Linked DNA regions of Arabidopsis thaliana. The protein of the gene in region 4 interacts with the protein of the main gene of each other region in a pairwise test. Each region holds a gene or a part of one and is shown on either strand. Other genes may lie near its edges. The genes, in order: MKP2, AT3G63210, RACK1B_AT and MPK3.

The links.
Region 1: the proteins of MPK3 (region 4) and MKP2 interact in a protein complementation assay, tested with the Arabidopsis thaliana proteins (one study listed by BioGRID).
Region 2: the proteins of MPK3 (region 4) and AT3G63210 interact in binary tests that used the Arabidopsis thaliana proteins (3 or more experiments, as listed by UniProt).
Region 3: the proteins of MPK3 (region 4) and RACK1B_AT come close enough for resonance energy transfer, tested with the Arabidopsis thaliana proteins (one study listed by BioGRID).

The regions. Positions count from the first base shown.
Region 1 is NC_003074.8:1,839,582-1,846,962, forward strand, and holds MKP2 (MAPK phosphatase 2), read left to right. Parts: upstream 1-3,831; 5' UTR 3,832-3,935; coding exon 3,936-4,025; intron 4,026-4,136; coding exon 4,137-4,272; intron 4,273-4,355; coding exon 4,356-4,476; intron 4,477-4,839; coding exon 4,840-4,996; 3' UTR 4,997-5,123; exon of another isoform or gene 5,124-5,345; 3' UTR 5,346-5,433; downstream 5,434-7,381. Other genes in the region: AT3G06090 (uncharacterized protein), read left to right, coding at 1,192-1,431; NIP7;1 (NOD26-like intrinsic protein 7;1), read right to left, coding at 1,807-2,008, 2,109-2,170, 2,378-2,575, 2,812-3,036, 3,213-3,353; MUTE (basic helix-loop-helix (bHLH) DNA-binding superfamily protein), read left to right, coding at 6,950-7,045. UniProt on the Arabidopsis thaliana protein: Has a dual specificity toward Ser/Thr and Tyr-containing proteins.
Region 2 is NC_003074.8:23,351,537-23,359,269, forward strand, and holds AT3G63210 (mediator of aba-regulated dormancy protein (DUF581)), read right to left. Parts: upstream 3,945-7,733; 5' UTR 3,371-3,944; coding exon 2,649-3,370; intron 2,569-2,648; coding exon of another isoform or gene 2,553-2,568; coding exon 2,483-2,552; coding exon of another isoform or gene 2,455-2,482; 3' UTR 1,978-2,454; downstream 1-1,977. Other genes in the region: AT3G63215 (uncharacterized protein), read left to right, coding at 2,455-2,568, 2,694-2,804; AT3G63220 (Galactose oxidase/kelch repeat superfamily protein), read right to left, coding at 6,004-7,062. UniProt on the Arabidopsis thaliana protein: May act as an adapter to facilitate the interaction of SnRK1 complex with effector proteins, conferring tissue- and stimulus-type specific differences in the SnRK1 regulation pathway. Involved in seed dormancy control.
Region 3 is NC_003070.9:17,980,041-17,987,320, reverse strand, and holds RACK1B_AT (receptor for activated C kinase 1B), read left to right. Parts: upstream 1-3,943; 5' UTR 3,944-4,052; coding exon 4,053-4,931; intron 4,932-5,242; coding exon 5,243-5,344; 3' UTR 5,345-5,685; downstream 5,686-7,280. Other genes in the region: AT1G48640 (Transmembrane amino acid transporter family protein), read right to left, coding at 1-103, 209-392, 646-800, 901-963; PEX3 (peroxin 3), read right to left, coding at 1,355-1,607, 1,715-1,930, 2,018-2,145, 2,211-2,247, 2,352-2,422, 2,530-2,660, 2,734-2,924, 3,015-3,176 and 1 more.
Region 4 is NC_003074.8:16,752,496-16,760,454, forward strand, and holds MPK3 (mitogen-activated protein kinase 3), read left to right. Parts: upstream 1-4,075; 5' UTR 4,076-4,097; coding exon of another isoform or gene 4,098-4,289; 5' UTR 4,290-4,422; coding exon 4,423-4,580; intron 4,581-4,663; coding exon 4,664-4,793; intron 4,794-4,881; coding exon 4,882-5,019; intron 5,020-5,120; coding exon 5,121-5,453; intron 5,454-5,545; coding exon 5,546-5,729; intron 5,730-5,811; coding exon 5,812-5,981; 3' UTR 5,982-6,379; downstream 6,380-7,959. Other genes in the region: AT3G45630 (RNA binding (RRM/RBD/RNP motifs) family protein), read right to left, coding at 30-180, 271-398, 603-695; AT3G45645 (uncharacterized protein), read right to left, coding at 4,098-4,289; NAXT1 (nitrate excretion transporter1), read left to right, coding at 6,758-6,857, 6,958-7,175, 7,259-7,776, 7,853-7,959. UniProt on the Arabidopsis thaliana protein: Involved in oxidative stress-mediated signaling cascade (such as ozone). Involved in the innate immune MAP kinase signaling cascade (MEKK1, MKK4/MKK5 and MPK3/MPK6) downstream of bacterial flagellin receptor FLS2.

The DNA.
Region 1 (7,381 bases), about 15 Mb from region 4:
TCGTCACGTTTGGCTTTTTGGTGTCACTAACTTATGAAAAAGTTTTATTATATTATATTATTACTAGCTGCAAAATGTATTAGAATAGGCTATAACTCAACGAATTGCAATTATTTGGATCGGACTACCGTATCGTGTGTTTTTTTAGTCCACAGTTCCACACCTTATTCGAGTATAGCTTTTCGAAAACACCCTGGCTGAACCTATATAGTTTATGCATAATTCATAAATGATTGATTCTTCAGATGAGAAAGAATCTTCTAATGATTTTTACGAAAACACATGATTAAATTGAAGAAGCTCGAAATTAGACTCGGGAGCCGTCCATGCCACTTGTCTTAAGGTTTTGTAACACATCACATGTCATTTTTTCTTGGGGACAATGAATCTCATGACAAACGAAGAAAGAAAGCTAGTGAGAATATATTGCGTAATGGTCAAGCTCAAATATATATTCGATTTTAATGTGCTTTATATAATATATGCAGAGAGCATCGTAAATACTTTGCTTAATCAAAAATTTCTGTTAACTTTTTTCTTCTTGTATTGACTTGCTTGAACTTTAAAAGTAGTGACAACGTAGCAAACGGATCTCGTTGTTCAGCTTTGATTTGATCAATTAAAGTGCTTGCAATTGCGTTTGAGTTTTGCATTACGAAATCAACAACTTTAAAGGTTTGCTTTAGAATTTGCGATTTTGACAAAAAAGATTATAATATACAATCTTCTGGTACTTTTCAAAAGGAAAATTTAGAACACTTTTACTCAAGTCTCAAGTTAGTGAGTATCCTCGCATCTAAATGATTTAGTTTCTTCTAATGATCGAACAATTTCTCGAGAGCACCATCTAAATCTGAATACATTTAGTTGGAATGAATCATATTTGATCTAAAACACATGGTTTAAATTTCTGCAAGACCGCAACCAGACTCAGACATATCATGATTTAATGAAATTTACTTTAATTCTTAAATTAGAAGTTCTGAAATAGCATTAAATACAAAGTAGCAACCTAAACCTTACTATTCGTAGACTGTTTACTCACTCAGTCAATAAACATTTGAACCGTTTAACTAATTATGCATTAGCTCTCATAGAACAAAAGACCAAAAATCTATAAACATGCATATATACACGAATACGAATCAATGTTGAGAATCTATAGTTTAAGTAGTAGTCGACACTAAGAACATGAAGATGAAGAAGCTTCTTAAAGTTGTGTTTCTCTTGGTCGCTTACTTAACTTGTTCCATTGCCATGGCTAGTTACCATGGTTGTAACAGGGTTGCAGAGAAGGCAACGAGAATGAATGTAGTCGGAGAAGATTCAAGAAATGAGTTTGGAAACTACGAGGAGAAGAAGAAGAAGGCGAATTTGTGGTCAGGTCGAAAGTTAGCTTCTGGTCCAAGTCGTAGAGGTTGTGGCCACTAAATTTTTAGTTGGGGTAATAATTTAAGATATTTAATTTCATTTCTCTAATTTATGTTTGTTGGTATCGTTTAGTAATATGAGTATTTTAGTGGGTTCTTATAACCTAATGAAAGGATTTGAATATTCATACGAATTTCGCTTCACTATAAAATATATGTGACTAAAGATTTTTAATTGCGTTCATTTCATTGTGTAAAAAGAACAAAATGCCCCCTGTTTTCATTTGCTTTACCCTCTATATCTTCAATCCGATAAGTAGCTCTCTGTTTTCGCATCACGGCATCTAATGACGTAATGACAAAAACTTAAAAACCTTAACCAAGAAAAAAAATCAAAAGTGTTTATTTGTATAATAGATATTAGGTTTTGAAGTGATTAACGTAAAAGTGAAGAAACGGAAGGGGAAACTGGAGAAGGGCAAGGCCTGGTTTTTAGGCTAATTGATCTGTATGTCAAAACTCCGATTATGGCTCCGATCACCGGAGCTGTCATGTAAATCCATAAGTCTTCAAAATCCCATGCCACCACCGCCGGTCCAAGTGATCGAGCTGGGTTCATCGATCCTCCTGAAATCGGTCTAACCATACCATATTCCACAAAACGTTAGCATTATACGATCACATGAAATAACTATTTTCCAATACTTTACGGTGATAATGGAGTTTTAAGTTAAGTACCCGGTAATAAGCACTCCAAGGGAAATGACTGTTCCAATCACGAACCCCGTCAAATTACCCAACTGCACAAAATAACATATAAAATTAAATGCATATAAGTTTTCTAATCAGAGAGTTTGATTTTTTTTATTTTCTCTTTGGAAAGAAATAAAATTTCATAATTAAGAAATAGCATGTAAATGTCACATTTTAGGTGTTATTCTTATTAGAAGATATTTTTTTATAACAAGCGGACTAGAGGAGTAACGAAGATCGATTTGGTCACTTACATTTTGATGAGGACCACAATGCAACGCGGAGGCGAGAAACACGACGATGCTCGTAGCTATGAGTTCAACGAAAAATGCAGAAACGCAGCTTAAAGCAGGTTTTGTTGCCATAATGTCAGCGTTTACTCCGTACACTGACACCCCAACTAATGTTGCCGCCGTTGCCCCCAATGTTTGCGCCGTTATATACAACGGAACCTGGCATGTGACACAACATTCCAAAAAAGAATTTTCAGTTTTCATAAAAAATAATTTGTAAACGTCCAAACAAAAGATTAAGTTTTCTCGTCTCATCTTCGTTGATAAATGAAAAAAACACATTATTTGATCTTGGTCTAAACGCTAAGATAAACAAAAACAAACGATCAAGACCAAGATAATTCAACTACAATTCTTAGTTGGTCAAACGCCGTGTTGAGATGGATGCATTATACCTGAGACCACGGGAATCCGCCAAAGACAGCGAAAGCAATGGTGATGGAAGGGTTAAGATGGGCGCCAGAGATGTGTCCGATGGAGTAAACTACGACCACCACAGATAATCCAGCGGTGACGGCGTACTCTAGCAATCCCACGTGGCCGCCGGATAATTGGGTACTGCTTATGACCCCACACACACTGAACATTAGAATGAATGTCCCCACCAATTCCGCCATTACCTAAACATTAGTCCGGAGATACTATTAATTAGCATTTTATTTCTATACAAACATTTTAATATTTTCAAAAAAATTATTTGTAATTATGGACATAGCCAATTCTTTAGTTTAACACAAAAGTATTGTGAGATATTAATCTTGTTGATTCTATGATTTTGTGTATATATGAAGCTTACAATGCGTAGGGGATTGAGATCTATATCATAAGGGAGACATCCGAAAAGCCTTTGTCTCGAGGGATGATCTTCATCTCTCAAAGTAGATGGAGTTGAGCCAGCTTCTTGGTCGACTACTCTTGACCGTGCCTCACCATTCATCTTCTTAATTCCTTCAAGATATAGTGATCAAGAACTGAGGAAAGTCACAATCAAGGTGGCTTGATCCGCTTTATGAATGATCTAATGGAACAAAAAAAGAGAGATAGAGAGAAAAACGCAAAGAAGATGGAAATTAAAGAGTAATTATTTTATTTCAACAAAAAGAAGAATTAGTAGAGTGCTGCTATATTCCTTTGGTTAAGCAGTCTGAAAGGAGAAGAGGGTGCTCAACACTTTTCTTGTGTTCAATTTTCACTTCCTACCTACCAATATTTCTTAATGTTAATTTGGTGATTTCTAAGTCATCTATTTATTTTAATCATCTTCATTTCATGTGTAAAAAGGTTGACTCTCTTAAATCTTTTCACTTAAAAAAACAAACAAATTGTTGCACCAGCCGGGAATCGAACCCGGGTCTGTACCGTGGCAGGGTTCTATTCTACCACTAGACCACTGGTGCTTATTGATTCATCTATCCGAACTAAACTATTAAATATTAATTACGAATCTAGGGTTATTTATCTTTCTGATTAAGAGTTTTCGTCTGTACAAGTGGAATTTTGAAAAAAGAAGCAGAGAGCGATGGAGAAAGTGGTTGATCTCTTCGGAGTCGGAGAAGCTAATTCCCAGAAGCTACTCGAAGGAGGCAAAGATCTCAGCGAGATCCAACAGGTTTTCTTCGTTTCTCTTCTCTATCTATCCGTCTAATTTCACACTTGGAATTTCTCAGGTTTTGGAGTCTTTAATTCCGAAAAATCGTTTGTTGGATGAGTTTATTCTCAGGGATTGTTCATAGGATCAGTAGCTGAAGCGAATAACAAGGATTTTCTCAAAAGCTCTAATATCACTCATGTCTTAACCGTTGCTGTGGCCTTGGCTCCTCCTTATCCTGATGATTTTGTCTACAAAGTCATTGAAGGTTGGGTTTTTTTTCTTCAATCCTTAGCCTGTTTTTGAAATTTTTCGTTTAGAGATTTTATAAACTTGTTCTTCATCGTGTAGTGGTTGATAGATCCGAGACCGATTTGACAGTATATTTCGATGAGTGTTATAGCTTCATCGACCAAGCTATTCAATCTGGTGGTGGTGTTTTGGTTCATTGCTTCATGGGAATGTCTAGGAGGTTTTGATTCTTTTGCCCTTAAATCTCATACATTCAGTTATTAGATTTAGTGTTTAAGAATCATCAATGTGAACCAATTGCAAATTATGTAACCATATCAAAAAAGTGTATATAAATTGCCAACTGAGTAACCATAGGAAACTACAGAGACTCAGATTGGCAAAAGTGTATATGAATCTTGTAGTTTGCTTTGATTCTTTTATAGCTTGCTGATTCTGGTATTAGTAGGAGTTATGGTAGTGAACAGATTACATTTTGTTGTGGACAAATTAAGAGTTTTTCTTGAACCTGTAATTTGCTTATTGTGTCGTTCTGTTATATATATACTTACACAATTTGATTGGTTTGAGTTTTTCTTTGAAGTGTGACTATAGTGGTGGCTTACCTGATGAAAAAGCATGGAATGGGATTCTCTAAAGCTATGGAACTTGTAAGGAGCCGACGACATCAGGCATATCCTAATCCCGGTTTCATTTCGCAGCTCCAGCAATTTGAAAAATCCATCCAAGGTAATGCATGATTGCTTCAGCTGATAAGAAGATTCAAGATAGTGGCATGATGAACTCTCATGAAATTCCGGCAAGTGTCTTCAGCCCCATGTTGGCCAAAAAAGTTGATTGGTTTCGTGCTGTGAAGGATTTTTTCTTGTGAACTATTGATGGTGAGCACTTTGCCATGTCCATTAGCCAATTGAAATGAATGAAAACGCAGAATTTACATTTCCTCTGTTACTACAATGAATATATTTTCTAGGAGGATCAGTGTGAATTTAACCAAACCAATCCCATACCCAAACCAGACTGAAAATTGGTTGGTTTGGTTTTCGACCCTTGCATTGAATGTTAACCGATATCTTGATCGAACGTGAGTTTTTTTTTTTTTTTTTCTTGTTTCATTGCCTTGTCGATCAATATTGTATATAACGTGATAGACCATGAACAAATTGAATATCGAAGTAGGAGTTAGATTTCTTTACTCGTAATTAAATGGGGCATGCACCTTGCATGTCTTATACGTATTGTAGCCTAACATTTGCGGCTACAAACATTTGTCACCAACATTTTCATTCCAGCTGCTTCCACAGTTTTGGGACTTCGGAGATAATGTATATGTGGATATGCATATATGAACCATAAAAATAAACGTTTGTCCAAACAAAACCACAAATAGAAGTGTTATCCAAGTGGGTTTGTTTCATAGAAAAAATATTGTCACTATAGCAATTTTTTTGGTTAGGTTAAACCTTATTTAATGAAGTTTGTAATATGAATTGAGATATTGTTAACTTTGCAAAACAGAGCCGAAATTTTACGAATATCTCTTTATTAAAAATAAATAATATAATTTAAGAATACTTCTCGGGAGGAATCTTAATGAGCCGTCCAGGTAGCTGAACAACTGAACTTTATCTTTGCTCCAAAGGTTATATCAATTTATGTTTTCTTGTAGAACCTATATTTCATGCAAAAAGTTATCCATTAACCAATGGAAATTGGTTCCGACTAGTGATCAAGGAAAATGATGGAATCATCACGAATGAGAAATTTGTGGTATTAAATGACATAGTGATTAAGGAAAACAAAAAGTTGTAATTCAACTACAAACTATGTCGTAACTATTTATATTTTGTTACTTGTCAATGTTGTCATTTATCTTACAAAGTCAATAGGATAGAAGATGTGAAACATAATTACACAAAAACGATGTCATATAGAAACATGCGAAATCACATAATCATTTCATCACTTCGAAATTTCGTAGATTTCCAATCAGATACTACCCAATATGTTTGCTAATAGTAAGTAGTAAAAAACATATGTTACGCCAAAAAAAACGGCTTTTGATGTACTTATTTTCCTTCATCGATCCATGAAAACTGTAAAACATCTCAATACAAACTAAACCTTTCCACCAGTATATGTCCGATTCAATGTTTTTTTACTTTGTGTATGTATCAGTGTATTATCTGTTAATAAAGAGTAAAAGAAATCCATTTTTTCTTGTGAGGACACGCGGTAATTAAGAACAAAGAAGTGGCACAAGTGTAGAAATTAAACTAGAAGTAAAAGAAGGTGGTGCAAAGGCATGCACTCTAAATGAAAATACGATATTGAAATTCATAAAAGACCTCACGCAGTGAATGTAAATGTAAATGTATCCAACTTCACAAACGTGACGTATCTTTGTGTATGCATACCTTTTTCTTTACGTTGTTCTAATACATATCGATAGTAATAAGAGAGAGAAAGAGAAAAATCAAGAAGAGACAAAAGAATGTCACGAGACAGCGACATAGTGCATTTATGAACCTTGAAAAGAAATTCTAAACCCTAATTATCACTTGTTGTTGCGGCTGTATAAATACGACTTTGTTTTGAAGAATGTGTCGAACAAAGTGAAAACATAAGATCATCTTCTTCGTTGATAGATCAATATAGGAACTCCAGAAGAGAATCTTGATCAATTAAGTATCATGTCTCACATCGCTGTTGAAAGGAATCGAAGAAGGCAAATGAACGAGCATCTTAAATCCCTTCGTTCTTTGACTCCTTGTTTCTACATCAAAAGGGTAAATTTCATATTTATCTGTTCGATCCCTTCATAGTCAATTAGCTAGTTTGGATGATATAGAAAAAAGAACTCAATTCACAATCCTAATTATTTTCTCGAAGAGATTGGTATTTTTTTAATGATCGTTGCTTTCTTTTGTTGAAGTTATTTCGTAGAGGTTGATTCAAGATTTATTCCAATTTATTTATACAGACAATTGAACCTTCTCAAATTGCTTATTTAATAGGATCCCAGATAAAATTGTGCAGGAACCAAAAATCTCTTAGATACTTATAATTGGATCATGCATGATAATCTTTCTAATATTGGATTTCCCAACTTACTATTTTTGGAA
Region 2 (7,733 bases), 6.6 Mb from region 4:
TGATTATATGTTAGCTTTATGATGTGCTTAGTTAATCCCAAAATCGGCTATGATGAGATTTAAGAAGCCCCAAATAAATAAAGTATAATGTTTGTGGCCCTTCTTCAATTAATATAAAGAAAACAATAGTGAACAAAAAAATGAAGCCGATGAAAAAGAAAAAGTATTCAACTGTTGCAAGATATAAATATTTGAATTTATCCGTTACAATATACGAGTATGGCAGATTGATTTATTTGTACAAGTGATCCAAGCATTTGATGTATAAGTAAGTAGTAAATCAACGAACAACAAATACAGTAGAGAGAGTATGAAAAAGAAATACGAGTCAACCAGCCAACAACTAATTTCAAATATAAAGTCGAATGTTTGATGGATCCAATAATGCGAGTTATAGAACATATAATAATGAAAGAACGTCCATATATTATTTATTAATCGAACTACTTTTTTTGTTGAATGTGAACGTACAATAATTGATTTCTACTATATGTATATGCAGCAAAATAATCGTGTTGTTTTTAAAATCAATGCATAAGTCATACAAATTTCAGTTTTGAAATTGTTAAGGTATTAATTTAATCACAATCACGAACTTAACTATATTTTTGCTGTGTAACTGATTAGTAAATAACCTGCTATATTTTAAATAGTACATATGCTTTTTTTTTTTTTTTTTTTTGGCAAAAAATTGTACATATGCTTATAATCTAAAACTTATAAAAGAGAAAAATACAAGTGGTTGACAAAATAAAAGAAGAGGAAGGAAATATCGGCACCGTCATGTGTATAATAGACCTGACCGCACACGTGTGGGTTTTTGTACTTGTCATAAGTTTTGCTTTTTTATTTTTGTTTGCTTAAAATGGTGTTTAAATAAAATAAAAGAAAGGAAGTCGAATCTGTAATATAAAAGTGAAGTCAGGGGCAAATGTAATGGATTTTGCTAAGATCTTCTTGTCTGTCTTCTTCAAATCCTTTTTTATTTTTCTTTACAAATGAAGGCAACTTGTGTGTTACACTGTTTGTTACATAAAAATAGTTTTTTGTCGCATAGCGACGACAATGAACATAATACGGACGAGAACCTCTGGCGGAAACCTCCACCACCATTCGGCCCAACTTTTCTATTGATAGATCTCTTCCTCTTCTTTTTTTTTTGTAACATTTTTCTTACAACAAATGATTTACCAAAACAAAAGATTCATTATTACAAATGATTCCTTATAAATTTCTACTATGTGTGTCACGGGAAACCCAAAGGGACAGTACATTTTATTTATTTTACTTTATGACTGACAGCTTTGTTTCTTCATATGTGTATCTTCAATTGTTCATTCTTCATAAATCACTTGATTCACAACAAATACTATCATGCATGATTATTATAGAGTATGCAGAAAGCTGACATTAGACTCAGAGTCTGAACACATTACCAGATTAATTTTGGTATCTCCTATATGGCTATATCTAGTATATACGACCTTCCTCTCATTAGTCTTAACATCTACTCCAACATCCATGTTGCATATATTAAGGTACTGGCTGATTCGAATAATAAACTTAAACATGATACTGACACAACTTCACACTTTGTTTTTACAATTAAATGGTTCCGTGAGATTGGGCCTTCTAGCTGCTCTGATATTAAATTTACGAGTCTATTCCAAAAAAAAAAAAGTGATGAGGGTCCTCAACATTTAGTTATCTGTCTTGCAAATTGGGCACGCCACCGAGACATGCAATCATCCCTGGGACTCTAACCTCATTACTTGCGGACCCTATTAGAAACGGCCCATATCTGGCCCGTATTATTAGGGACCGGCCTAATTATGCATGATATAGCCCATCGATATTTAACCACTCAAAATCCCCTCCCCTGCATCTATGGTTTGATCTGGTTTGGTTTGATTGCGATTAGAGTTATTATATACTTACTTGTAAACACCAAATCAGACTCATTTCACAGGATAAAAACACGAGTTCAATGGCTTCCCAGAAACCTTTCTCGACTGAAAAATGAGTCTGAGTTCAGAATCTGAGGTAAACGGTAACAAAACTTGATATATTGTTGTAACTTGGCGCTGTCAAAGTTAACAAAATTAAATCAAAAAGCAAATGGCCTTATAGCAATAACATTTTCCCTCTACAAGACCGCATAGAGCCACGACGAATGTTAGGTTATGGAAAAGACTGATGCTTTTGATATTTTCTGATTCAGATGGCAGTATTCTGCAAGTTTATGATATTATTGAGCCCTCCGAGTCACTCACTCTCATGACACAAAGAAAAAAGTTATCAACTCTCTCTCTATCTTTCACATATCTGCAGGCGAGAAAGGTTATGACTAGAAATACAAATACCCCCACCCAAAAAAAGAAAGAAAGAGAAGAAGCATCAGAGAACTAAAAGAATAATACAAAAGTAGATGATGCTGTGACAAAATCAATAAAAATGAAAAGAGATGGAGAAGGAGTGCTAGCTAGGTCTCCATTTGATCAAGAAGCATCTCCTGGTACCTGCACTCGCTGCTGCAAAAACCTTTCTCTCCCCTGCACCACAACCATTGTGATTAAGTTTAGTTTTGGAACCACTCTATGATCTGATTAAAGTCAAATACATAGATAAAAGATTGTGGAGGTACGAACCTGTATATGTAGATGTCCTGTTTCTGGTCAAGATTCTTCTTGCAGGTGAAGCAACGGCTTAGAAAACTCTCGGTGCTCTTGGTCTCCATGGCTGGTTGGGGTAAAGGAACAGAGCAAGGAGTAGCCTCCACGAAAACAGAGTTGTCGAAGATATGAGTGATGGTTGGGTTAGGACCGTGAGAGATGACGCGCGTGTAGTCCTCCGTCTGGTCAATCTCGCTCACTGCTAAGACCTTCGTTTGGACACAAGGACTAAGTTGACAAGGAGGATATCTGATGCCGGTTTTAGTTCCAAAATCAGCTGATGATGGGATCTGGACTCTGAGCTTTGACCCGAAAAGGACCATCTTGTTGACAGGTTTTCTAGAGTGGTCTCTGTTACTGTCTCCGTCTTTCACGAGATCGGCTAGGCCAAAGACGTCTGGAGAGTGAAAACGCTGGGGATTAGGGATAGTTGGCTCGAAATAGGAAACGGGTTTAGGGTTTTTGGAGGAGAAGATGGATGGGTTAGCTTCGAGTATAGACGTAGGGCTAACGAGTGAGAAATCAGAGTCAAAGGGAGTCATCATCATCTTAGAAGTGAAAAACCTAAACTTGGGAGAGCTAAAGAGAGATGGTGAGCAGTGGCAAGTGTTAGGCTTTGGAGGTGGAGGTTGATCAGCCATTAACAGAGATGTTTGTTTCTTAGTCGTCACGGCTGCTCTAGGTTTGTTTCTAAGCATAGTTAAAGACCGGTGAGGGTAAGGATCATAACTCAGTAGCTTCCATGGAGAGAGGAAAGCAATGAGTCTGCGTAAGAGAAAATATCTAAAATGAAAGAGAAGAAGAATAGAGAGAATTTGGTACAATTATTGAGAAACTCTGACTGCTTCTGGTATTAATGGGGTCTCTCACTCCTATGAAATGATGATCCTCTCCTCACTCGCAAAAATCAGATTAAAAGTTGCTTTCACTTATCTCTTTCCTCTCTTCTTTATTCCTTCCAAAGAGCGAGAGAGAGAGAGTGATCTCGAGAGACGGGACGTTGTAGATTTAACCAAGAAATGCATGCAACTTTACGGATTTACCCCTTACATTTATTAACACATAGAGATCTCAATTATTTTCGATCCATTATTCATATTAGGGACCGGATATGATTGAATGTGTATCGTACTCTCTTTTTTTTGTCGTCGTGTATTTTAACAACAACATACTACATTTTGGGTCGACGATAAAAGATTGGAAACATCTTTTGCAAGATTATCGAATTTGTACTCTCTCTTTATTTTTGTTGCATGTACAAACTTTTATTTAGTTTATTAGGTATACACTTGAACGGCGATACATTCATTATTTGTGCATTGATGTTTGGGCCTCTGAAACACAGGCTCTCCTTTTATTTTATACTACTATTTTTCATTTTTGTAAAAAAAACTGTGAGTTATTTATTTCTTACAATTTGTATCCATTATTATATAATACGGCATTTTGTCATTATTTCGTTTGTCTTTCTCAAATCATAATTCACTTTCATTTGGGTTTCTTGTTTTATTAATCAAAGAATCAGTGACGTTATTTAAAAATGTAGGAACAATAATCAGTGAATAATGTACATGTTAATCTATACTACTAAATATTTTATAAACAGTTTGTGGATAAAAAACAAATGTAATCAGAGGGGGGTCCACAGTTGCACCTGCTTTGCTTAATCCAATAATTAAGTTCTAGATAAGCGCCACGTGTGTTTGTCTACTAGTAAACGTTTGATTGAATGGTCTTGATGCGTTTTACTCCATTACAAGACAAATTATATAATAATAATCACTTATTTGACCCAAAAAGTTATATAACTCGTCGAACCACTTTTATTGTTGTTGATCTTGTTTTTCTCGAATCCCATCTAACTATCGCATTTTCATTGTTTAAGCTCGTCAACTTCTGATTCATACCAAGATTCAAGAAAAAACAAAAAGAGTTTCAAGTTGCAAGATTATGTATAATCATAACTTCACTTACAAATAATCAACGCAAAAGAAAACATAAATATTACTTGGTAGCCTAGTAGGGAAAGAAAAGTAACGTATTCGGATATAATACGATAGAGGAAGGAATTAGTGATAGACCCACGGTGGGGCTAAAAGGATGTGGACAGGAGTGTGTAGGTCCTCTCCTCCTCCTCCTCTACGGTTTTCGCTATTTCTATGACGTTGTGATCATATTGGCCTTTTCTTCTCCCCCTGTCGATTCAAGCTTTTATTTTCTATGTTTTGTTTAGCCAAGGAAATTTTGTGTATTTGTGTCTTGTTTTCATGCCTCAAGGTCTCTTCTTGCCTCAATTGGGTTTCTCTTTTTTTTTTTTTTTTTCTTTCGGATAAATCTAATTTTGTGAATATCCATCTGATTAATTTTCTTACAAATAAGAAGAAACAAATAGCGACTACTCATCCATATATGCCATTGAATGTGCTATTTCTTTTTAATGTAATGAGTGTGTCCATCGATTCCGTAATTGTGTTTGTAACCCATTCAGTCTAACAACTTTGATCCCTTAATCACTACGACTACTACCAGAAGCATACGTATATGTTTTGACTCCCAATCCATAGACGTGACTCTTGATAGATTGATTTCCTTCTAAACCACCTGACGTAGAGGTTATAAAATATAATTGGAGTGGAATCAGCACTAATCATTCATTTGATTCGATACTGAAATTTTTATATTTCTTTCCATTTCATGATTTCTTTGATGACTCGCCATCTTTAATCATGGTTATTATTAATTCGAAAGTGGCACCGATATATTGTGTTTATCAAGGATATAGTCATATCACCCTAATTACCAAAGATAAAGAAAGCAAATGAGCAAGATAATGAGAGGTCCATTTTCTTAAATCATTGCTTCTTTGTCAACATGTCTTAAATCCGAATCATTACTCTTATACACTACAAAATACTCCTTAGAGCTTGAATACCACAATTTTGTTTTTCTGTTCAATGACCAAATATCTCCATGTTCAAACCCATATTGCTCTTTCAGATTGTTTAAGGCCCAACACAAAATAACTTATGCAACCTGTCCAAACCCAACCTGATATCATTCCCACATATAGCCCAATCAATAGACCTATTTTTTTTTTTTTTTTTTCACCAGACTCATAAATGATATTTTCTCAAGACATAAATCTGCTATTCGTTTATAGACAATAACCAGGCTTTGATGACATTTTCTCAAGACATAGCTGCTATTCGTTTATTTTCATTTCTCAAAGAAGATTTAAAAACAATAATGCTCACAACAGTTAACAAACAGGAAGAAAATACAAAACAAAAAAGAACTGAAAGACGTCATAATGAAGCCACATTCCCATCCATCAGATTGTCAACTGCGTGCAGCCAAGGATCGTCCCACGACACCTTGTCATCGGCGCCACACTCCTCCAGGCCGGACGATCATTCCCAACTGTCAAAGCGTCGACATCTGACAAGGGCTTGATGTCCCAATTGAGCCTATCAGGTCCGATCACTCCTCCTACGATCAAAACCTCATCACTCAAACTCGTCATCGCCATTCCGATCCTCCGCTTAAACTCTGAGGCCGATGCAACCATCTTCCACGTGTCACCTTCTTGCTTGAACACCAGCCCATGGCTCATCACGTAAAGCACGTCCTCAACGACCACCATTGGACCTTGCGGCCAGCCATAGTCTTTGACATCCCACCCGAGTTTAACGCTCTCAAGAACCTGCACCGTGGACAAGCCTTTGTGCAAGACGTGGACTTTCCCGTTTACCACTAGACCCGAGCAGGCAGAGTTATGAGTCTGGTGGAGATCTGGGATGGATGTCCAGACGTCATTCTCAGGATCATACATCTCCGCTCCAGATATGGATTTCCTGCAAGTGGTGAATCCGCCAGCAACAACAATCTTCCCTTGAAGAACGCAGCAGGCGAACATAGCACGAGGCACGAGCATTGAAGCGCGAGGAGTCCACTGTCTCTGTACAAAGTCGTAAGACCAGACCTGGTCAGTAGCAAAGGTACCGTCGTGATCCCCGGTAACAGGGCTGACAGCGTCGCTGCCACCGCCTAAGACAAAGAGCATGCCGGCAGTAGTGACAGCACCGAAATGGGCAAGGTGGCGGATACGAGAAGGAAGGAGAGGGAGGGTGAGCCAGCGATCACAGTTGGGACTGTAGACTTGCCAGATGTTCTCAGGATCGAAAGCACAGACGCAGAGGAGATGCTCAGAAGATCGGAGCTCTTTACGGACTCTGAAGAGCTCATGACTGCGGATAGCAGCTCGCCAGGAGCGAGAGACGAGTTCTAAATTGGGATGAAGGTGTAAAGGCACATGAGCCAGGCATCTCAGAGCCACTGCTTCGGGGATTCCATCCAGCAGCCCAGACATTGTTTCTTGTCTGTAACACATTTATGAGATTGATCATCAGATACAAGCAATTGCAAATGCCCAATCTTTGAATACAAATATGCCAAAATTGACCAAAAAAGCTGAGAAGCGTGTAAAGTGAAGATTTTGGGTGAAGTAACTTATTTCACCGTAAGACCTAATAAATTCTTCTCTCGAAGCTGCATCACACAGCATTATAATCGATTTCAAAAGACACCGCCGCATCACACAGCAAATAATCGATGAAATTGGATTTAAAGAAACCCTAAAAACTTGAGGCGAGAGAGAGAATCAAGATTGGGCTCCGACGAAAGCATTTAATCGAATCCAATGCAAAGCAAAAGCGGAAACTGAGACACCGGCGACGATTACGAAAGAGAGACAAATCAAAGGGAACACAAAGAAGAAGAAGAAGTCGCACGCTAAGAATTAGATTAGATTAGCATAATAAACCAACAACAGATTTGGAGGTAATTTTACCTGAAGCGCGGCGGGAGATTGATGAACACGAAGGAAGGAGATTGTGATGATAGATATCTCTCGGGAGAAACAAGTTAGCTTGTGATTTTGCCGGACGACGACAATTGAATCAAATCAAATCAAATCGAGGTTAAGGAACAACAAGAGCAAGGAGAGAACAAGGTTTTAATAAAGAAGCTACGTCGTCGTTTTTACGTTTATGATATTACTAA
Region 3 (7,280 bases), on a different chromosome or scaffold from region 4:
TGAAGAAAGAAAGTCTGATCGGTGAGCAATCTTGACAGGCGATTTCGTGAAACTTCTTCAACGACTGTCCTCCGGTGACCATATAAACTATGCATACTCCAACCTTTATTTGTTAAAGAGTAACCAATATCAAGACTATATATAAAAAATGGTAGTATGACATTTATTTTATGTCAATAGTTTGTACTATCAAATCTGGAATGCTTACTTCAACAATGATTTGCTGAGGGACGATAATATAAAGGCCAAGACGTTCGCCAAATGCGAACTGACCAAGTTCATGATAGCGATCAAAGCGTTTTCCGGGAACCATCTCATGCATCTCCACCATTTGCCATAACGTGTAAAGTGTTATTATCCATGATAGTATCAGGACTGCTATGCCTGGTCCCCTAACATATATAACAAGACTTTGTAATATCACGAATATTACTAATCAAATCAAAAGTAAATTTATGTAGTAAGAAATTAAAAAACTACATATGTATTCAAATTACATCTTTTTGTATGTTCAAAATTTGCAAAGATTTGATGAAAACTAAAAATAATATATATCTTCTTACTTCTGTGAACAAAACTTAACAAATAAATGCAAAAGCAAACAAGTTAAAAGATAATGTGTTGAAAACAATCAAAATTGTGTACCATCCGAGTTGGGCCATGAAGAAAGGGAGACCAAGGACGCCAGCTCCAACCATGGCAGTCACGTTGTGAAACGTGGAGTACCACCATTTCGCGTTTCTCGATGAAGTTATCGGAAGCCAATCATCGATCTCTTTCTGTCTCTCAAGCTCGTCAATCTATGTGTAATCAAAAATGGAAAACCAAGACTAGTCTTCGTAAGTAAAGCCGATGAGATTAATACAAATGGGTAATGAATGAAAGGGTGATCTGACCAACCCGGTGGTCTAACGAACTTTGCTCTGGTGGCGGAGGAACTCCATCTGTCATCTGAATATACATTTTATCCGACAACCTGCGATAACTCTTACACTTTTGTTCTCCGGTAATCTCATTAATTACGGATGTGTATAAAATCTTGCGCTTGTAGCAGCTATAGATTGGAAAAGTCAACCTTTGTTCCGTTGACTTGTGTGCAAGGCACGAACGCAGTGGAGGGATCGTGGACACTTTAAATGCAAGTTGCTTTACTTATTTTCTAATCAAAGTTCCAAGTGTCCTATTAAACAAATGCTCTTCTTTTCTAATCAAAACAAATAAATGAAATCAACTTTGGTTCTACAAGCTCAAAACACGAAAATTCCTGCATTTCTTTCAAGCTAAAAGACCCCCCTACAAAGAAAGCAAATAGCAAAACACTTTGGGGAATTTCTAAGAGAACAAACAAAAGTTGCTATTGCGGCATATTAGCGTATAAAAGAGTAAAAAAGAGTTTAACTTCAGGCAGATCTCTGATGATTTGTAAGAACCGGTTCTTGCTTGGTTCAGCTGTAATCACATTCATTGTCTTCTCAATCTGTGGTAAGACCTTTGCCAATGGTTTCCCTGTAGCCAAACCGCCTGCTTCAGTCTGCGTTTCCATTTCCTCTACCAACACATCCGTGAAGCACTTGAGCGAAATTTCGACTATATTTGTGAATTCAGTGCTGCAACAAGAAAGACACCAAGAGATAAGTTTATTCCCCACAATCATCCAAGAGTGTAAGAAAGAGGAAAAATTGTGTGTTTATCTTAGCAGATAGACATTACTTACCTGATGAGTACTTCTCGAGTCTCAACCATGAGTTGATGAAACTTGGACACAGCTTCATCAGAAGAGTCACTTGTGGTTCTTGAAAGCTTTGTGTCTTGAGGCATCATTAAATAATCAACCCAGTGATGTGGGCTTCCAGTGCTCATAAACACATCTACAATCTGCATCACGGTTTCTTGAAGAACTCTTGTGGTAATTACATCCTTTAACTGCTTTCTGCAATTAAACACACAAAAACATATTAGAGTTTTTCCAACAATAGTCAAATTATAAACGATCTAGATACGAATTTTTGCAATGTACCCTTTAAGGACTTCCTCGGCTGAACCCTGCATATCTGAAATCAAACTTGGCATTGCATTGGTGACAAGAAAATCAGCACTCGACAAAAACTTCTGTTCATCATCTCTATCAATGAGATCTACCTCTTCCTGCAAACAAAAAGAAACAAATTTAATAGATACACTGTTGAAAGCTCACAGGGCAAGCAGATCACAGGACAAGCGGCCGTGGCTTTAAAAGGTAATCTGGAACTATATCAAAGAAAGATAGGTGATTCCAGAGTATTAGTCCACAGATAGGTCAAATGCATAATCGTTATCGCAATTAAACACAGCTACTAGAGACATAATTATACAAGTTCTTAACAGAACAACCAGTGAGTTTCCCCGAGAAATAGCTTGTTGGGGATGAGATAAGCAAAGTACACTGAATCATACTTGCGAGCAAATGAGAGCAGTAAAGAACATGTGCAGTATCGTTTAATAAACAGCAAATTCTCCAATACAGAGAAGAGGGGAAGCATATTATCTTACAAGTAAATGAGAGCTGCCAAGAGCTCGAGCGGTGTCAACATACAAATGTCTGCCTAAAATGTTGACTTGAACCCTAATGTATAAGCTAAGCATTGTCACAGACCACAGAGACAAAACCATCCTCGTGAAACCTGGCAAATAACATGAATATACAGGTAAGAAACAGAATTTGATAGAGTAAGAGTAGGTGACTGCAGTGCATACTCAAAATCTTGAGCTCATCCCAGAGCTGAAGTTTCTCAGGTGGACTCAGCATTCCTTTCCCTTGGTTCAGTCTGTCCATAACATGAGAGACATCGATCTCCTCGCTGATACGGATACTCAAAAACTGCATTGCGTGAGGCAGTGTGGTCGAATCCACAATCATCTGAATACTCTCGAAATGTGCTTTCATTCTAAACAAGAGTACAAACAAGACAGGTCCGTTAGAGAATCCATAAGAACTGAAGTCTAAAGGATCAGTTTTTATGAGCACAGAACTTAACTGGGTTTTGATGATTTCGTCATTTTCACGCTCGTGAGCGAGTTCTCGTTCCAAATCAGCAAGCCTACGAGTATGGGAATTGTATAGTTTGTAGAGTAAATACCCACTTCCCAAACAACCAGCCGTCACCAAGACCTTCCTTCTATGCTTCCTCCAAAAACCCCTAATTTATTCCACAAGGTATTGAATCAATTAAAAACCCTAACTTTATTCACCAAAAACCCTTCCTAAGGAATTGGAATTAGTGTGCTAGAGAGAGAGAGATAGAGAACGCAAAACACTAAATTTCGAATTTTCACGAAAACAGTAAGCAATTACAAAGAAAGATGAAGCGAACAAGAACCTAACGAAATCCATGGCTGGTGAAGCTTTTACTGAAGTCGAACCCAGAGATACATAGCTGAGAAAACACGTAGAAAGATGAAGATTCCCGAATTGATTCGTTCGGTTTGAAAAGGAGATAACTTTGCAGGCGAGAGAAAGAGATGGTTGATGTGATCGATTTCAATTTAATCAATCACTTCATCTTTTTCTTCTCCGGAATTCGGACATGTAAAATTATATCTTCCACAGGGACAGTCGAAGTTGTGTTCTTAGTTCTTACAATAAAAGTTGAAATGGCCAAACTCGGTTTGTTTACTTTAATTGAACCGACTTTTGAGTCTATTTCAATTTTTGACAATAACTTCTCGGTAGAGTTCTCATGGGGTTTGCCCAAAAGAGAGAAAAAAAAGTTGTCATGTCATGTACTCATGTGGTTATCAAATTGACTTGTAACAAGCTATACCAATTCTGGTTAAGCGTTCCAAACAGAAAGATATAAATCTCGGTTCCATAATTGTCCCAACATGAAACCAAGTTGGGTAGAATACCGGGCCTTAATGCTGGCCCAAATGAAGAGACCCAAACTATTGACAAATGAAAACAAAGAACCCTAATTATCTCTAACTATAAATACTCTCGGTTTCTCGTTACCTCCATTTTGCCCTCTCCCATTTTTGTCGCCGAAACCCTAAATCTCGACCTCAAACCCTGAACCATGGCTGAAGGACTCGTGTTGAAAGGCACAATGTGTGCCCACACTGATATGGTCACCGCCATTGCTACACCGGTCGATAACTCCGACGTGATTGTAACTTCGTCGCGTGACAAATCAATCATCCTCTGGAAACTCACAAAGGAAGACAAGTCATACGGTGTTGCTCAGCGGAGGATGACTGGTCACTCTCACTTCGTTCAAGACGTTGTTCTCTCCTCCGATGGACAATTCGCTCTCTCCGGATCTTGGGACGGTGAGCTTCGTCTCTGGGATCTCGCTACCGGAGAATCTACTCGTCGTTTCGTTGGTCACACGAAAGATGTTCTCTCTGTTGCTTTCTCTACCGATAACCGTCAGATCGTCTCTGCTTCTCGTGATCGTACGATTAAGCTTTGGAACACGCTTGGTGAGTGTAAGTATACCATCTCTGAAGCTGATGGTCACAAGGAATGGGTTAGTTGTGTTAGGTTTAGTCCTAATACTCTTGTGCCAACTATTGTATCTGCTTCTTGGGATAAAACTGTGAAGGTCTGGAATCTTCAGAATTGTAAGCTTAGGAACACTCTTGCTGGTCACTCTGGTTACTTGAACACTGTGGCTGTGTCACCTGATGGTTCGTTGTGTGCCAGTGGTGGCAAAGATGGTGTGATCTTGCTTTGGGATTTGGCTGAAGGGAAGAAGTTGTATTCTCTTGAAGCTGGCTCTATTATTCATTCACTTTGCTTCAGTCCCAATAGGTACTGGTTGTGTGCAGCAACAGAGAATAGCATTAGGATTTGGGATCTCGAGAGTAAGTCTGTTGTTGAGGATTTGAAGGTTGATCTTAAGGCTGAGGCTGAAAAGACTGATGGTTCTACTGGAATCGGAAACAAGACCAAGGTATCTATTTCTCCTCACTCTATCTTATGGTTAATTGTCTAGTTCTAAGTTCTGTGAATTAGTTAGCCGTTGCCTTAAAAGATGAGATTTTCATAAAGGAAGGTCTGAATACTCTCATGTGAAGTTAGTTCACAAGATTTGATTGGTACGTAAGAGAGTAGCTAACATTAGATTGAGAAACCTGGTTTTAAGTTAGCTCTAGTCTCTGATTTCTTAGATTGTAGTGTCTGAAGTGATTCCATATTGATTTGTTGGTTACTCTTTGGTCTGAGGTGGTTTATATATGTTCTAATGTGGAATGTAAAATGCAGGTGATCTACTGCACAAGCTTGAACTGGAGTGCAGATGGAAACACTTTGTTCAGTGGATACACTGATGGAGTTATCAGGGTTTGGGGTATTGGTCGTTACTAGAGAGACAAGAAGTTTCTTTATTCTCTCCAAATTTTTCCATCGACTCTAAAGTCTTCTCTTCTGAATTAGTGTTTTGAGGATTTATTTTTTGTTCTTTTCTATTTTCAGAATCCACAAATGTGATATTTTGATACATTGATTTTGTTTCATATTTGTTTTCTTACACTGAGTCTGAGTACACGGCGTAGAATCTGATTTGAAGTTGTTACTTGTATCCTCTAGAAAGTAGAAATGGCTTTAGGTTGATGACTAACTGTATAACAGCAAGAATTTTTTCTTAGGAATCTGAAAACTTCAAGGAGTTATTAGCCTTTACTTTTCCAGTGGTTACATCTTAACTACAACACGAACCCTTTCAAAAGAATCTCTAAACACCAATGCACCAACCAGTTTATCTTTTTGTACTTAATGATATTTGGTTTTCCATCTCTTACTCTACCAAAACTAAGAGTAGTCTAAAGTGTAGGCGACAAGGCCATATGTTATACGAATTCTCAGTTAACATGAACCGAATATAGCCCATATAGAATAGTTCTTGACCCAGACGCTTACCTCCATACGGCACAGAGTCTCTGATAAATGGGTCTTATTAGCATTAATTTTGTGTGTAGCCAAAGGTTGAAACTTGAGAACTTCTTCATGCTCAAAAACACCAAATGAGGTAAACCATGCACGAGTCAATAGTCAATAATCAAAAGTGCAATCAAGATTGTTTTCACTGCTTTTCCGAAGAAACCAAGACCCCCTATGACATGTTTCAGCATCATAAGCCGCTCAACAAAGCAATGCTTAATTGCTCTGTAAAATTTTTCATATTTCTTATCTTTTAGATATTCTACACCCAATACCCAAGTCCACGTATATAACAAGATCTTAATTAGGCTCCGTAGGCTTCGACAACATGTCCATTTTATATCATGCTTTTTTTTGTAGTCCAAATAAGCTAAGGTTGATCAAGAATGGAACATCAAACTACTAAAACTATAGATCGTTTAGCTCTGCATGATTTAGAGAAACCGCAGCAAAACTATTTCTATCGTCATTAGATGATATAATACAACCTTTTGCACTAATTTAGGCTTTGCAAATTTGAGAAAAAGAAATATAGACTTTATTATATTCTGTTTTGTTAACAAATTAGGCTAATCTACCTCATATTGGTTACTCGGATACTTTCTTCTCAAATGCGACAAGTCTCAACATGTTTCGATCAAATAGACGTGTTTCTATACTGCTTTGATGTTTTTTTATGTTCCCTGGTGCAGTTTCCTTGATTTGGACCGAACTTGGAACATAAGAGAAAACATGTCGCCTACGATATGGTTCTGCATGTTCTCCAAGATCCAATTCTCTAAAGTACCCCGCCTCGCCAATGATGTTGATTGTTTTGCGATTGTCATTAAACCCGATGGCGACTTTCTTTTCCTCGTTAATGAAGAAACTCGTGTGTATAATTGGCCCCGTATTTATTCTCAAGAACTTGCTCCACGACACCATTTCGGCCTCAAGCTTAGCTGTAATCCATATTTCAACTACATTTTTATAGTAGTGGTCCTTGTACTGAAATAAAACTGCAAGCTTCTCTTCACTAACACAAGATAAAATCACACATGAATGATGACGATCAATAAAGCTAAACGGCAAAGGCAAAAGCGGTCCAAATCTCTCTCTAGTAAAATCAAAACAAATAATGTGATCGCTATAACCGCCGCTCCTCTTCCTAGCACACCAGTATGTGTTTCCCTTGAGGGAAACACCACTTTGAGAAATAACTATAAACCAGTGTGGAGTGACATCAAGAGTTGTCCATAAATCCGAGTCAAAATCGTAGATTTCATACCAAAAAAATTGGTGTAGGCCGCGATAATTCCAATGATAATCTATAAACCTCAATAATTTGTGGCTGCGACATGAATTCTTATTCTCGTATCCGAGA
Region 4 (7,959 bases):
ACAGGTTTTTCGAGGAAAAAATGACGTACATCTTCATCTGCTAGATTAAGGGGCAATCCAACAATGTAAACAAGATTTCTTTGAACCACTCGGACACTTGTTAGTGGCTTTCTCCCATCAGAAGATTTCGGTTTCGACTTTTGTATTTTTTTGCGATCCATGTTGCCTTCAGAGGCCAGTCTGAGAACAGAAAATAGATAAGAAACATCAGCAAACTAAAACTGACACTGAACAAAAGTTCACATCTCAGGTGTCATATCATATCTCAACCTCTCCTGATCAACAGTCATCCCAACAATCTTTTCTTTGTCATATGGAGTGCGGCAAGCTGGACAGCGCCCTTCTGATTGATCTTTCTCTGCCATGTCCATTATATGGTGCCAGCACCAAACACAAATCTGTAAGATTGTAGGTAAATACATATCAGATCAGAAAATTATCAGCAGAACAAATGTCAATGATCTCTGAGGCCACCACAATAAGTATAAATTGGTATGCTCTAAGTATATACCACAAGCCTTCAAAGTAAACCATAGCACAACTGAACCTAATTTTTAATCCTGATCACAAAAAACAATGAAAATCAGAGAGAGTGTCTGGACCTGATAGCCACATTTGCAAGGCTTCAATTGCTGGTCAGTCAAATCCATCTCCTCAGCACACAAAGGGCAAGTCTTTTCACCGTAATCACTCATTTTTTTCCTGAACAAGACAGAGATAAAAAGACTGGAATCATGTCTCATCATAAGACATACAAGCAAAAGCAAACCATACTGACAAAACTACCTAAACTTTAGTAATTCAGCAACATTCGTGTATAGTGGCACAGAATAAAAAGATCGACAGTTTTACTAATAACAGTTCAAATTGAACATCTTCCCGATCAAAGAAACTAATATTATACACTAATCCAATAAAATTGAGTTAGCAAATCTTAAACTAATCCAAAGTATCAAACTTTCAGATCGAAATCGAGAATCTAACAAGCCAAAGTCCATAATGAATCCGTGCATGGGACGCGACGGTTCAATAAGAGACGCGTCAACGAAACAGTACAATCGAAAAAAAAACATATCGACGACAATCCAAAATCTCCATGAGATTTCTACATACAATCGGAATCAGTAAACACGTTGATCTCAATAACTACTCCGGAACTAAAATCGAAACACCAGAATTAGGGTTTTGAGATTCGGCGATTCAAATCCCAACATGAAAGAGTCAATTACGAGAGAAGTGAAAACATACGGCTGAGTAGAGAGATTCGATCGGAGATTGTGGAAGATGAAGAAGATTGAGAGAAGTGGGAGATTGCAAGAGACAACAAGTGAGAGAGATTGGATGGCTGAGATTTTGGCCGCTTCTAGATCCACGATTGCCTAATAAGAAGAATTAACTATGCCCTTAGATTATTAGTTTATTACGGATCTGCCACTATCTCCGGTTCGATTATTTTTGGTTGGCGTCGGTTAAAGACTGATTTAATTTGGTGGTGGTTTTATTTCAACCCAATGATTATATTTTAATTTTTGTTCTTCTACATATCCGATATTTTCAGAAATCATGTGGAAATAAATCTAAAAATTTAGAAATTTAGTTACAAGTTTTATAAAACTAATCGTCTAATACAATGAAATTTCATCAAAATAATTATTTTTCTATAAATTATGATGATCTAAGTACCGGATTAAGAACAAATTACAAATAAGAATACTGTACACAACAAAACTCAAACATGTGACTTCAGAAAATATTTTACTCGTAAATTAAAACATAAACATACACGAATACTATCCTTCATATATATCTTTGTATCTAAGAGTAACTCAATGTTCAAAATAAAATACAGCTAAAAAAAGTAATAAGCAAAAGAATATGGGATAAACTATTTTAAGCTGAAAAAGTAACAAAGTGATAGAACACACTCATGCATCATTAGTTTATGTAACAAAGAAGAACTCATTTTAAGTTGTTGCAATGGAGACTTGCTTCAAAACCTTTGAACAGTCCACAAGTTTCAAGCTTTTAAACGTTCTACAGATGAACAATGGAATAAACGACTAGGCCATTCTTTTCAAAAGAGTGTTCATAAGGGAAATATCATCCACATGCATTTGGAAGCTCTTTATAAGCTTTCGATTTTGCCCGTACCTAATGATTTTCGTTTGTCCATCTAGGAAGTACTCGATTTAAAGTTTAGAACTAATTTAAACAATCATTGTTTTGATAAGGTTAAGTATTTGAAATCACTTTTAGATGACTTTGGAATAGTTTTAGAAGGTTATAATCCAGTGAAGTTTAACGATGCATCGTTATTCCTTAACATAAATAGAACTCTAACTTAAATAAATTTCATAACAAAATCAATATTTTTAACGATAATGTTGGAACATAAATTATATAGCGCATACGATTATTTAGAGGAATTTGTAAACTAAATATTAATATCTTGTTCGAACTCGAAAATAGCTTACTTTTTTTTCTTCATAAGTGTTGGCTTTGATATATAACAACAAAGTGTTACAATAGTGGAAAACTCCACTTACAGAATTCGATAGGCTAATGAGCATTACGATATTAAATTATCAAACACATATAGATAATCTCCTTTAATTTTCATCTACTCAGAATTGAACATTTTCATAATCTGCAAGTTCTGCTTTATCTTGTCTGCTTTCATTGGAAATGAAATGGTATATGTTGGTCGGTAAAAGACGAATCAAATTTGTAAACTAACAATGAACTATTGAAAGAGTAAATCTTACAGAAATCTCAAAAGAAAATAAGATACTAAAAAGGGAGAAACTGAATCTCTCACTTAATCCCCATTCGGGGAACCTTTACACTTAACACGCGATCTGATGGAGCCATGAGTGCAATCCAATCAATCCAAAACTTCTGCAAGGCCCTCTTACACAGATATCCTAACGAAAAGTAACCACAAAGATCCGCTTCTCAACTCCAAAACCAATTTGCGCAAATAGAGATTTTGCCTATTTTGCTATCTCTTTCTTCTTAAAACAAAGCCTTCTTAAAACAAAAGTCCAACAACAAAAGTCAAACCGAGCCCAATATAGTAACCCATCGAGGAAGGGATAAGAAAGCCATACAACACAGAGACATGTGTCGCCTCATGAGGAAATCACAGACACGTGACGAGAAGAACGTGTTTGTCGAGAATGCCAACCACTGCCGGCATGTTTTCTGAGATCGAAGAACGCCTACCCACCGAAAGTTCGTTCACTCCGCAAAACCAGAAGCTTCAAGTAGAGCACTGAAGACCCTCTAAAGAAATTGCACATCTAGTCTTCCTCTTCCAAACGAAATTAAACTCAGATTTAACAAACGAACGAAACTTTCTTTCATATGAAGGAAAGCGTCCACCATTCCAAAGTAGCATGAAGCATCACAATGACGTAAGCAACCAAAAAGATTTTCCGGTGAGACTTAACGTCGCCATGCCCATCAAGTGAAACTACTACAAAATTTGAACGACAAGGCTTATGAAGCCGAAACTCTTAAACTTCCACTTTTTCTTCGTAATGAAGAAACTTAATAAGTTTATTAGAAATAAAGACAAATAAAGGCAAAATACCAAAGAACGGCGACGATAAAACCGGATTTACCGGTAACTATAACTAGAACTCACCGTACGGTATTGAAACAAAAAGTTGGACCATGTCCGAACACAACCTCACAAACATACGGGAAGGCATACGAAACAAAGAATTTTTTCTTTTTCTCAAAATTTTAGAGAAAGAAGAGAATAAAAAAATTCTGATCGAAAATAGCTTACTTAAAAATCATAATTGAATAGTATCTTTTGTTTTTAAACTAATTTAGTCTATATAATAATAATATTATTAACCATCGTAAACCACACATGATATTCAATACTTATAATAAATTAATCGCATAAAATACAATACTTAAAACGAGTGTTATATAATTTTACGTAACGTAAAACAATACAAAATTTTAATTCCTGAACGAATAAAACGAGTATATTAATTAATTTATTGATCGTATTAAAACGAATATGATCCAATTAAGATTACAATTACTAAAATCCCCACACTATTATTGTCATTATTTAACTATGGCAGATAGATAGATACAGAACCGTAAAGGACGTTAGGAAGAGGAAGAACGTTGACGAAGTCAACAACGAACAGAAACCGTCGATTTGAGGCGGCTCTAATCTCAACCACACGATCTTCTCTGCCTTTCCCTCTTCTCTCTTCTTCTTCTTCTTCATCTTCTTCCTCGCAATTACCGCGAAAACTCATCTCTGCTCAATCCTCAATCTCAGTCTCTCTGTTGACTCCGACTGTTATATAAAACCATACAAATACCTTCAGATTCACTACTTCAAACCTCAAAGCAACCACTGAATCTCGACTTTGATCAATTGAGAGAGAAATGAACACCGGCGGTGGCCAATACACGGATTTTCCGGCGGTGGAAACTCACGGAGGACAGTTCATAAGTTACGATATCTTCGGTAGTTTATTCGAGATCACATCTAAGTATCGTCCTCCGATTATACCAATTGGTCGTGGAGCTTATGGAATCGTTTGGTATGTTTCCTTCTCTGAGCTTTTTCTTAAGTTTTATTCTTTGAGATCGGAGTTTTTAATTTCTGGATTTTGATTTTGTGAAGCTCTGTGTTGGATACGGAGACGAACGAGCTAGTAGCGATGAAGAAGATAGCTAATGCTTTTGATAATCATATGGATGCTAAGCGTACGCTTCGTGAGATCAAGCTTCTTCGTCATCTTGATCATGAAAACGTTAGTGTTTTTGTTCGATTTTGTGAAATATCTGTAGAAATTAGTAAATAAATCATGATTAGGGTTTTTTGATTTGGTATTGCAACAGATTATAGCTATAAGAGATGTTGTTCCACCACCACTAAGAAGACAGTTCAGTGATGTTTATATCTCTACTGAATTAATGGATACTGATCTTCATCAAATCATCAGATCTAACCAGAGTTTATCAGAAGAACACTGTCAGGTAAACTAAAAACTGTTCTTGGCTTTTTTCTGGGATTTATATTTGATAGAAGAGACATGAAACTGATACTTGATTTGGTGTTTTTGTTGTCATGGAAACAGTACTTCTTGTACCAGCTACTTCGAGGACTGAAGTATATCCACTCAGCTAACATTATTCATAGGGATTTAAAGCCGAGCAATCTTCTGTTGAACGCGAATTGCGATTTAAAGATTTGTGATTTCGGTCTTGCTAGACCTACTTCAGAGAATGATTTTATGACTGAGTATGTTGTTACGAGATGGTATAGAGCACCTGAGCTTCTGTTGAACTCTTCAGATTACACAGCTGCTATTGATGTTTGGTCTGTTGGTTGTATCTTTATGGAGCTTATGAATAGAAAGCCTTTGTTCCCTGGTAAAGACCATGTTCATCAAATGCGCTTATTGACAGAGGTAAAATATTTTAGAGAGTTATGTAATTTTAGCATGGTTTAAAGATTCTGCCTTTTCACGGAATATGTGATGAATTTGTTTGAATCTTGCAGTTGCTTGGCACACCGACAGAATCTGATCTCGGTTTTACTCACAATGAGGATGCGAAAAGATACATCCGGCAACTTCCCAACTTCCCACGTCAGCCCTTAGCTAAACTTTTCTCTCATGTTAACCCAATGGCCATTGATCTTGTTGACAGAATGTTGACGTTTGACCCCAACAGAAGAATCACTGGTAAGTTTCATACATGTTCTCTGTTGGTTTTTCTTACCATCACTATGTTTTGATTAAAAACTGAAAATACCATCTTGTGCAGTTGAACAAGCTCTGAATCACCAGTACCTTGCTAAATTGCACGACCCGAATGATGAGCCAATCTGTCAAAAGCCATTCTCTTTTGAGTTCGAACAACAGCCTCTGGATGAGGAACAGATAAAAGAGATGATCTACCAAGAAGCCATAGCACTCAATCCAACATACGGTTAGAAGTGCAGCAGCCCCGTGAATGCCTGGTATTACCCAATAACCATCCGAATGGCTACTTAGTATCTTTGCCTGTTCTTTTATTCATGTACTTCTTCCACATATGTAATCTTGTAACTTTTATTTGTTTGTTCATGTTATTTACTGCTAGTGATTAAGTGTAGCTCCAATGTAAAGTACTCCAGTTATTAAAGAATATCTATAGACTTTTTTACTTCACATACTCTTGAGTCTTCCCTAGTAAACAAAGAGAAGAGAGAATATAATTTTGTAATGTACAGAGCCTCAATATTTGTGGGAGACATTATAGAGCTAGAGCCAGAGTCAATGCTGTCGCCGTGAGTTGTCTATTCTCATTCAATGACTTTCAATAGATTTTAGTGGGATTGGCTTTAGGTAGCTTGCATTATTGAAGTAGAAATGGTCAATTCCTTAGCAATAATTAGGCACAAATGTGTCTTTCTTTAGTAATATTGTAATATCCTTTGTCTGACAATTTAGAGTTGACTTCTAAAACGTTGGGTTGGAAATAATGTTGTCTTCACACAGGCTGTTACGAAGCAGACAGTGATGGCTCAACTTGCATCAACGGAAACCTTTGAGTTTTTGTTTTACTTTCTTAATGTTTCTTTATTTGAAGCTGCTGCGCATGGAGAATAAAATATCGTGGACCCGAGAAAGTCATCATTGCTGTATTATTACTTATACTGTATATATGTTTCAGAATTTCAGGCCATTGTTGACAAAAATAGTGAAAGATTTCTGCTTGATTTTGAGACATGGCTAGTTCAGTTACTGGCGATGCAGAAACAGCGATATCAGCAGATTCAAGCACCAAACGCCGTGGTGGAGGTTGGATTACCTTTCCGTTTATGATAGGTGAGAGATTCTGTTTCTCTGTTTTTATATTTCTCATAACTTCATAACCATTAGAGCTTGGAAGAAGAAGTTGAATTTATCTTATCTTTCTATGGTGCAGCTACGTTGTTAGGCTTGACAATAGCTGCGTGGGGTTGGTTACTTAACTTGATCGTCTACCTGATCGAGGAATTCAACGTGAAGAGCATTGCAGCGGCTCAGATTGCTAATATTGTTAGTGGTTGTATCTGTATGGTTCCAGCTGTTGCAGCCATTGCATCTGACTCTTTCTTTGGAACCATTCCTGTTATCTCAGTTTCAGCTTTCATTTCTCTTATGGTAAAGTTAATAAAGAGTCCTTGACATTTGTTTTTATCAGTTTCTCTCTGAAACAGAAATTCACTAATTCTACTCTTGACCAGGGTGTAGCTCTACTGACTCTAACTGCTTCACTTGACACTTTAAGACCTAGACCCTGCGAAACAGCTTCAATACTATGCCAGTCTCCTTCGAAAACCCAGCTCGGAGTCCTTTACACGGCCATAACTCTAGCCTCTATAGGAACAGGTGGGACACGGTTCACATTAGCAACTGCTGGTGCGAACCAGTATGAAAAAACTAAAGACCAAGGAAGCTTTTTCAACTGGTTTTTCTTCACAACATATCTAGCCGGAGCTATAAGTGCAACCGCCATTGTCTACACCGAAGACAATATCAGCTGGACCCTTGGGTTTGGTCTGTCTGTAGCCGCTAATTTCTTCAGTTTTTTGGTTTTCGTCTCGGGGAAAAGATTCTACAAGCATGACAAGCCTTTGGGAAGTCCCTTCACAAGTCTACTATGCGTCATTTTCGCAGCATTACGCAAAAGAAAAGCTGTGGTTTCCACCAACGAAAAAGACTACCACAATGAATCAATCACAATGCCCACAAAGAGTTTCAGGTAGAAAAACCGGCTCGAAAACCGCAGTTTCATTCTTGCACTGAGAGGCCGTTCTAATGAGTTTTCAAATACGCAGGTTCTTTAACCGTGCAGCATTGAAACAGGAAGACGAGGTAAAACCAGATGGCACAATTCGCAATCCATGGAGACTATGCAGCGTTCAACAAGTGGAAGATTTCAAAG